Callithrix jacchus: one gene and its partner. The protein of the gene in region 2 purifies or fractionates together with the protein of the main gene of each other region. This does not show direct contact. Links are inferred from orthologs where the notes say so. Each region holds a gene or a part of one and is shown on either strand. Other genes may lie near its edges.

Region 1 (3,741 bases), on a different chromosome or scaffold from region 2:
AGGTCAGGAGTTCGAGACTAACCTGACCAACATAGTGAAACCCCATCTCTACTAAAAACACAAAAATTAGCCAGGTATGGTTAGCACATGCCTGTAATTCCAGCTACTCAGAAGGCTGAGGAAGGAGAATTGCTTGAACCCAGGAGGCAGAGGTTGCAGTGAACCAAGATCACCCCACTGTACTCCAGCTGGGCGACAGAGCGAGACGTTGTCTCAAAAAAAAATAAAATAAAAGCCGAGTCCTGGCTCAAACCACTCAACCATAAAAAAGACATTTGGGGACAGCTGGTGAAACAAGAAGCAGGAATGACTGTGAAACTGCCAGATGTACAACAGTGGTGGGTAAAAAGACACATGGCTGAAGTGTGTGGGAAGATGCATCAGATATAAAATTTTAAATCATTAGTCATGGCCGGGCGCAGTGGCTCACACCTGTAATCCCAGCACTTTGGGTGGCCGAGGTGGGTAGAACACGAGGTCAAGAGGTCGAGACCATCCTGGTCAACATGGTAAAACCCCATCTCTACTAAAAATACAAAAAATTAGCTGGGCACGGTGGTGCGTGCCTGTAAATTCCAGCTACTCAGGAGGCTGAGGTAGGAGAATTGCCTGAACCCAGGAGGCGGAGGTTGCGGTGAGCCGAGATCGTGCCATTGCACTGCAGCCTGGGTAACAAGAGCAAAACTCCATCTCAAAAAAAAAAAAAAAAAAATCACTAGGCACAAAAAATAAAGCTAATATGGAAACATGATTTGCCGTTTTTCAATGTGCTGGAAAGGGAATGCCCTTATTCCATTCAACTTTTTTTTTTTTGAGATTGAGTCTTGCTCTGTTGCCCAGGCTGGAGTGCAGTGGTGCAATCTTGGCACACAGCAACCTCCGCCTCCCAGGTTCAAGTGATTCTTCTGCCTCAGCCTGGAGTAGCTTGGATTACAGGCCACCCACCAACATGCCCGGCTAATATTTATGTATTTTCAATAGAGACAAGTTTTTGCTATGGTGACCAGGCTGGTATCAAACTCCTGGCCTGAAGCAATCCACCCACTGGCCTCCTAAAGCACTGGGATTACAGGTGTGAGCCATAAGGCCCAGCCTATGCCATTCAATTTTGAGACCTTTCAAGTAAAAAGTTTAATCTCTTTTTAATGCCATGTATTTCACAGCTGAGTTTCATCTTATCAAATGCAGTGAAAGGATCTTTATACTGACCTGGGTTCCAACCACCTGGCTTTTTTTCTATCAACTTTTCTTCAAGAAATGAAAATGAAAATGTGGGGCCGGGCGCATTGGCTCACGCCTGTAATCCCAGCACTTTGGCAGGCCAAAGCGGGCAGATCACCTGAAGCTGGAAGTTTGAGACCAGCCTGACCAACATGGAGAAACACCATCTCTACTAAAAATACAAAATTAGAAGGGTTTGGTGGTGCATGCTGGTAATCCCAGCTACTTGGGAGGCTGAGGCAGGAGAATCCCTTGAACCTGGGCGGTAGAGGCTACAGCAAGCCAAGATTGCACCATTGTACTTCAGCCTGGGAAACAAGAGCAAAACTCCATCTCAAAAAAAAAAAAGGAAAATGTGGGGATTTCCTGCAAGTATATTTAACAGGAGCCACTGAGGCTAGTCCAGCAGGCAGACAGCGGAAGGGACACTCACAGTCGGGGCAGCAGCCATTAAACGCCATCCTGCAGATGCCACAGTTCTCATCGTTGGCCACCCAGAGCCAAGTGGCCACGCCATTCCAGCACTTAATCTTCACCTTCATGGCAGCAGAGCCTGTACCCGAAGGGAAGAGGATGACAGGCTTAATTTAGTCTGCAGAACTAGAAGATTTAGGCACCAAAATAGGAATAAGCCTGGCACAGTGTAGTCTCAGCTACTCAAGGGGCCAAGGCAGGAGATCACTCCAGCCCAGGAATTCGAACCCAGCCTAGGAACATCGTAAGCCGTTTCTATTTTACTTTTCTTTTGTTTTTGAGACGGAGTCTTGCTCTGTCGTGTAGGCTAGAGTACAAGGGCGCACTCTTGGCTCACTGCAATCTCCGCCTCCCGGGTTCAAGCCGGCCTCCCAAAGTGCTGGGATTACAGACATGAGTCATCGCGCCCGGCCCGACTAATTTTTTTTTTTTAAGAGACAGTGTCTCACTATGTTGCCCGGCTGGCCTCACTGAGCTCAAGCAATCCTTCCACCTCGGCCTCCCAAGCAGCTGGGATTACAAGTGTGCAATGGCACACCCGACTTTCGACTTTTTTTTTTTAGATATGGGGGTCTCACTACGTTGCCCCAGCTGGTCTCAAACTCCTAGGGTGAAGCGATCCTCTTGCCTCGGCCTCCCAAAAAGTTTGGAGCACAGGCGTGAGCCCCGCGCCGGGCCCGTACCAAAACTTGTAAAGGATATGACTAGCAAATGTGAGATTGGAGACTTCGAGGTTGCAGGTGGAGACCAAAAACCCCGGCTCAAAAACCAAAAAGCAACCCGCAGCAGGTCTGCACCGGCTGCAGCCCGCTGAGGCCACTCCCGCAGGATCCCGCCCCGAGCCAAGCGCACAGCCCTCGGGCGGGCGCAGAAACAAGGACCCCCGCAGGTTCCCGGACACCCGCCGCGCCCGCAGCGCCCCCAGCCCTAGCAGAAGGGCGGGGCAGGCGGGGAGGGAGGGGAGCGCATGCCCCACTCCCAACGACCGCCGCCCAACCCCCTGCGGCCTCGCACCTTCGCCAACCTAATCACGCACGGCTCTGCCCGCCCTTCCGTTGGCAGCGCTGACGTCCGCGCGGGAAGGTATAAAAACGACCACAGTCACGGCCCGGCTCCCTCAGCAGCGCCCGCCGAGTCCCGCGCGGCAGTGCGCACGCGCTTCCCCGTCTCTCCCCGTCCCGCGCGCGCTGCGGTCCGCAGGCGGCCAATCACTAGCCGCTCCGAGGCCGTAGCACCGGAAGGCCTCACGCGGCGCCGGAGGTGACGTGCTGGCGTGCTGACGCGCGGGCTCGAGCCGATGCCCGATTCCGCGCCCGCCATGGCCGACAAAATGGACATGTCTCTGGACGACATCATTAAACTGAACCGGAGCCAGCGAGGAGGCCGCGGCGGGGGCCGGGGCCGCGGCCGGGTCGGCTCCCAAGGCGGCCGCGGCGGCGGGGCGCAGGCCGCCGCGCGAGTGAATCGAGGCGGCGGGCCTATCCGGACCCGGCCGGCCATCGCCCGCGGCGCGGCCGGCGGAGGCGGGAGGAACCGACCGGCGCCCTACAGCAGGGTGAGTGTGGAGGCCGGCCGCACCGGAGAGGGCAAGCCGGGGAGGCTGGCGGCGAAGGCCGAGCCCGGCTGGCTGATAGGGCTGGTGGAGCGGCCGCCCGGAGGTCCGGAGGGTGCGTGTGGGAGGGCGCATAGGGGGTGGTGGGCGGGGGCGAGGTCGTTCATTCCGGGCCCGGCCCGGAGGCTGAGACCCTTTTCAACCCTTTGTTCCGGCCGCCGGGACCTCGTGGCGGCGTGAGCGGAGGGGTAGCTGAGCGCGGCAACAGCGGCGGGAAGTTAGTGGAAGGGAACTGAAGTTGTGCTGCCGCGGTGGGACCGTGCGGCCTCGTACCTGGGGCTGCTTTAGCGGCCGGAGGGAGCGCTGGCGGCCTCATCTCCGCCGGATCCTCTCAGGCCGGGAAGAGGAAGGGTCCGGGGTCGCCGCGAGGACTGGGAAAGCCCTGGACTGAGACTCACAGGTCTGCTGTTGTTGTGGTTTTTCCTTCAGCCAAA
Region 2 (3,644 bases):
AAAAAAGACACATGAACTGCTAACTCCCTGAACCCCGGATGTGATCTTATTTGAAAATATGGTCATTAAAGATATAATTAAGATGAAGTCACCCTGGAGTAGAGTGAGTGTCCAAGAGGGGGATACAAACAGAACAGGGGAACACTCCGGGCGACGCAGCAGAGACTGGACCGAGCCATCCACAAGCCCCGGAGCTCCTGCAGCCCCCAGAGAGCTGGTAGAGGCAAGGAAGCAGCCTTCCCCTAGGGCCTCCAGAGGGCCCTGCTCACCCTGACCTCTATAAGATGATACATTTCTGGTCTTTTAAGCCCCTTGGTTTGTGGCACTTTGTTCTGGTGGCACCAGGGCACTGACACGCCTGCTCTGTGGGCCACAGGCTCCTAAGCCCTTCCAGGATCTGGCAACTCTTTTTTTTTTTTTGAGACGGAGTTTCGCTCTTGTTACCCAGGCTGGAGTGCAATGGTGCGATCTTGGCTCACTGCAACCTCCGCCTCCTGGGTTCAGGCAATTCTCCTGCCTCAGCCTCTCAAGTAGCTGGGATTACAGGCACGCGCCACCATGCCCAGCTAATTTTTTGTATTTTTAGTAGAGACGGGGTTTCACCATGTTGACCAGGATTGTCTCGATCTCTTGACCTCGTGATCCACCCGCCTTGGCCTCCCAAAGTGCTGGGATTACAGGCGTGAGCCACCCCGCCAGGCCAATCTGGCAGCTCTTAAAGGAAACGAACCCCACTTTACGGACAGAAGATAGAGGTGGAGTCAGTGGTTGGCCTTGGTCCTGGCTCTGGCTCCAGGGCCGTGACCTCCACGAACACCACTCATCAGCCTGCACCAGAATGGAAGAAGGGCTCAGGAGCAACAAGCTCAGGTGCAGATGCTGAGGGCTGCATGCCAGCCATGTGCCCAGTGAGCTCAGGTGCAGATGCTGAGGGCTACATGCCAGCACATGCCCAGCAAAGTGCCTAAGGTACAGATGCAAAGGGCTGCATGCCAGCCATGTGCCCAGCGAGGCCCCTAGGCCAGGAGCTCTGCTAGTGGGACCTCTCAGCACAGCCCGGCACCTTCCTGAGCCATCCTGTATCCCGTGAAGTGAAGACAAAGGGCACTGGAGTATGGCTGCCCCAGGACGTCAGGCCCGAGGAATGGGAAGTGGCTGAGCCACACTTGGGATCCCAGGGGGACCCTGGAGGGAGGCCAGGGGAGCCTCGCCCAGAAACAGCACTGGAGAGCCTGAGGCAGCCAGAGGGTCAGTGGGAGAGGGACTGTGCATGGAGCCCGGCCACACCAATGACTTGTACCAGAACATGGCAGGGCGGGGGGCAGGGGGCGGGGGAGGCTCGGTGCCCGCAGACTCTGGAGACACAGGCTGGAGCTGGAGGTGGGGGGATGGCCAGGGCCCTCCTTTCCACCGGGGCAGGCAAGCTGCGGGGGATACCTGGACTCTTCCAGAGCCAAGCTGAGGCCTGGAGGGAGGCAGCAGGCACTCGCCACCAAGATCAGCAGCCTGGCCCAACCTCCGCCTCCTGCCCCGGGTGCCTCTACCTGGCCCTCCCCTTGTCTGTCTCTGCAACTTCCCCCTTAGTTTCTAAAGTGGACTCATCACCTTGCCCTCCCCTAGGAATAAGCTTCCTTAGTCTGTCAACACAGCAAGGCCCTCTCACTTGGCAGATAAAAAAAGGAAACACATCTAGACCCAGCGTCTGTCACAGCAGGCCTGGAGAAGCTGGGGACCCTCCTTTGAACTCAGCCCCACCTGCCGGCCTTGGCCCAGGCTGCGGCTGGCCCATCTCCCTCCTGGGGTTGGGGTCTGCAGCCTGGAAACCAGCTTTGCCCCAGGACCCTCTCCTCACGTGTCCCCTGCTGGGGTGCTCAGCTCCCCCCAGGCCTGAGCATTCGCTGGGCACACCGGAGGCCTCACGGGCCCCACACACCAGACTGAAAGCCCTGGGACCTGGCTGCACAGGGGTCCTAACCTCTTCCCTCGACCCAAAACATCTCACCTGAACATGAGCTCAGGGAAAAAACCTCCAAGCGTGGTCCCATACCCAGGGCCCTGGATACCTGTTCTGGGACTGCTGGGATTGGTGGTGCTGCCAGGAGACGTGAGCCAAATACGGCCGATACCACCACTCTGGGCACGCTGGCCCCACTTGCCAGCACCTCCAGGCCAGGGCTCGCTCCTCCAGTCCCCACGTCTGCTTCCCCCCGACTCCCACCACAGTCCCACAGCCCTGGTCCTCAAGCACCATGGGAACCTGCAAATGCAGTTCTCCGGGAAATATCTAGAAACAGGGGCAGGGCTGGGGCCCCAGGGTCAGGTGCGCTTGGGAGCGCTGCCCTGGGCAGAGGGTGGCCCTGGCTCCCTGGCCCTCACCTGCAGTGACACAAGGCACCCCAAGTCCTGGTTCTGAGAGGCAGAGGGCAGATGGCAGAAGAGGAGGAAATGCTCAGTGGGTGCGGCCTGCTGGAGCCACGGGAGTCCCCGTGAAGCAGCACAGGAGATGTGGGCCTAGCACAGCCCACCCGAGCACCTGTGGGGCCGAGGGACGCTGGCTCACAGGGGGCACAGGCTCACTGTGAGGAAGGCAGAGGGAGTGTGGACTGGGCCCACTCCATCTCCTGCAGGGATGGCTGTGAGACATAACCAACCCTAGACACTCGGGAGACAATGGGGTGGCCATAGGCACCAGGCTGCTGAGCCCGCAGCACAGGGTGAGGTGCAGAGAGCCCTGTGGGGTGGCTGGCTTGGAGGTACCTTGAGCTGCTCGTACTTCTTGCAGTAAGCCTCCAGGGCTGCCCTGATGTCCTCAGGGACCTCCAGCTTCTCATCCTTGAAGGGCGGCCAGAACTCACTGGACAGGATGACAGCATAGACCCCGAATGGCGGCTGCTCCTCCACCGGCCGCTTCTCGTCCTCCTCCCGGATGTTGGCATTGATGCGGCGGGAGTCCGCCATATCCTGAGGGAGGAGCTGGTGTCACGGGGGCCTGGGGGTGGCGGGCGGTGGGCGAGGCGGGACCCACCTTCAGCATGACCTCGCAGAAGTGCATCGGGGCCTCGCCAAAGCGCAGCTTCAGCAGTTCTACGTTGCGGATCTCCCTGGAGAGACGAACCAGTGTCTGGGCGGGGGTCGCAGGGGCTGCAGTCCCAAGCAGCACCTGTAGCAGTCATGGGTGCACCTCCCGGGCAGAGCAGGGGGCCTGCGTGGCACCCCGGCGGCCAGCTCAGCCCCAGCCAGGAGTGGGGGTGGCACACAGTCCAACCAGGCCCAGGCCCTGTCCTGACAGGCTCAGCAAGGGCCCCAGCACCCCTGGAGACGGCTGGCGCCTCCCTGGCCTCACCGCTCCGGGCTGAAGCTGAGCTGGTGCAGTAGGCGGTCGGCCAGCAGCGAGCGGTACTCATTGATGAACAGGTCCTTGCTGCCGTAGATGCTGACCAGCAGGCTGATAATGTCTGAGGAGCGCCGCTTGGAGCTGGACTTCCCTGGCACAGCGGGGGCAGGGGTGTCACCTGATAGGCACCTTGGCAAGGATAGGGCACCCCCCTCCCATCCCACCATGCCCGAGGCATAGCCCAGCATGGCTTTTCCTGAAGGCCCTCGAGGCTGGGAGCAGCCCGGCACCTCCCAGGAGACCAGGAGTC

What was found. Proteins that work in one complex are often made in the same cells at the same time.
Region 1: the proteins of ANAPC2 (region 2) and anaphase-promoting complex subunit 11 purify together in Homo sapiens (affinity purification with western blotting; 7 studies listed by BioGRID and IntAct, with this or other methods). This does not show direct contact. The link is inferred for Callithrix jacchus from reciprocal best matches to the Homo sapiens genes ANAPC2 and ANAPC11.

Annotation. Positions count from the first base shown.
Region 1 is NC_133506.1:137,490,230-137,493,970, reverse strand, and holds the start of anaphase-promoting complex subunit 11, read right to left. Parts: upstream 2,851-3,741; 5' UTR 2,720-2,850; exon of another isoform or gene 2,710-2,719; intron 1,775-2,709; 5' UTR 1,764-1,774; coding exon 1,655-1,763; intron 1-1,654. Other genes in the region: ALYREF (THO complex subunit 4), read left to right, coding at 2,993-3,250, 3,737-3,741. UniProt on the Homo sapiens protein: Together with the cullin protein ANAPC2, constitutes the catalytic component of the anaphase promoting complex/cyclosome (APC/C), a cell cycle-regulated E3 ubiquitin ligase that controls progression through mitosis and the G1 phase of the cell cycle.
Region 2 is NC_133502.1:185,590,042-185,593,685, forward strand, and holds part of ANAPC2 (anaphase-promoting complex subunit 2), read right to left. Parts: intron 3,486-3,644; coding exon 3,344-3,485; intron 3,102-3,343; coding exon 3,026-3,101; intron 2,962-3,025; coding exon 2,758-2,961; intron 88-2,757; exon of another isoform or gene 1-87. UniProt on the Homo sapiens protein: Together with the RING-H2 protein ANAPC11, constitutes the catalytic component of the anaphase promoting complex/cyclosome (APC/C), a cell cycle-regulated E3 ubiquitin ligase that controls progression through mitosis and the G1 phase of the cell cycle.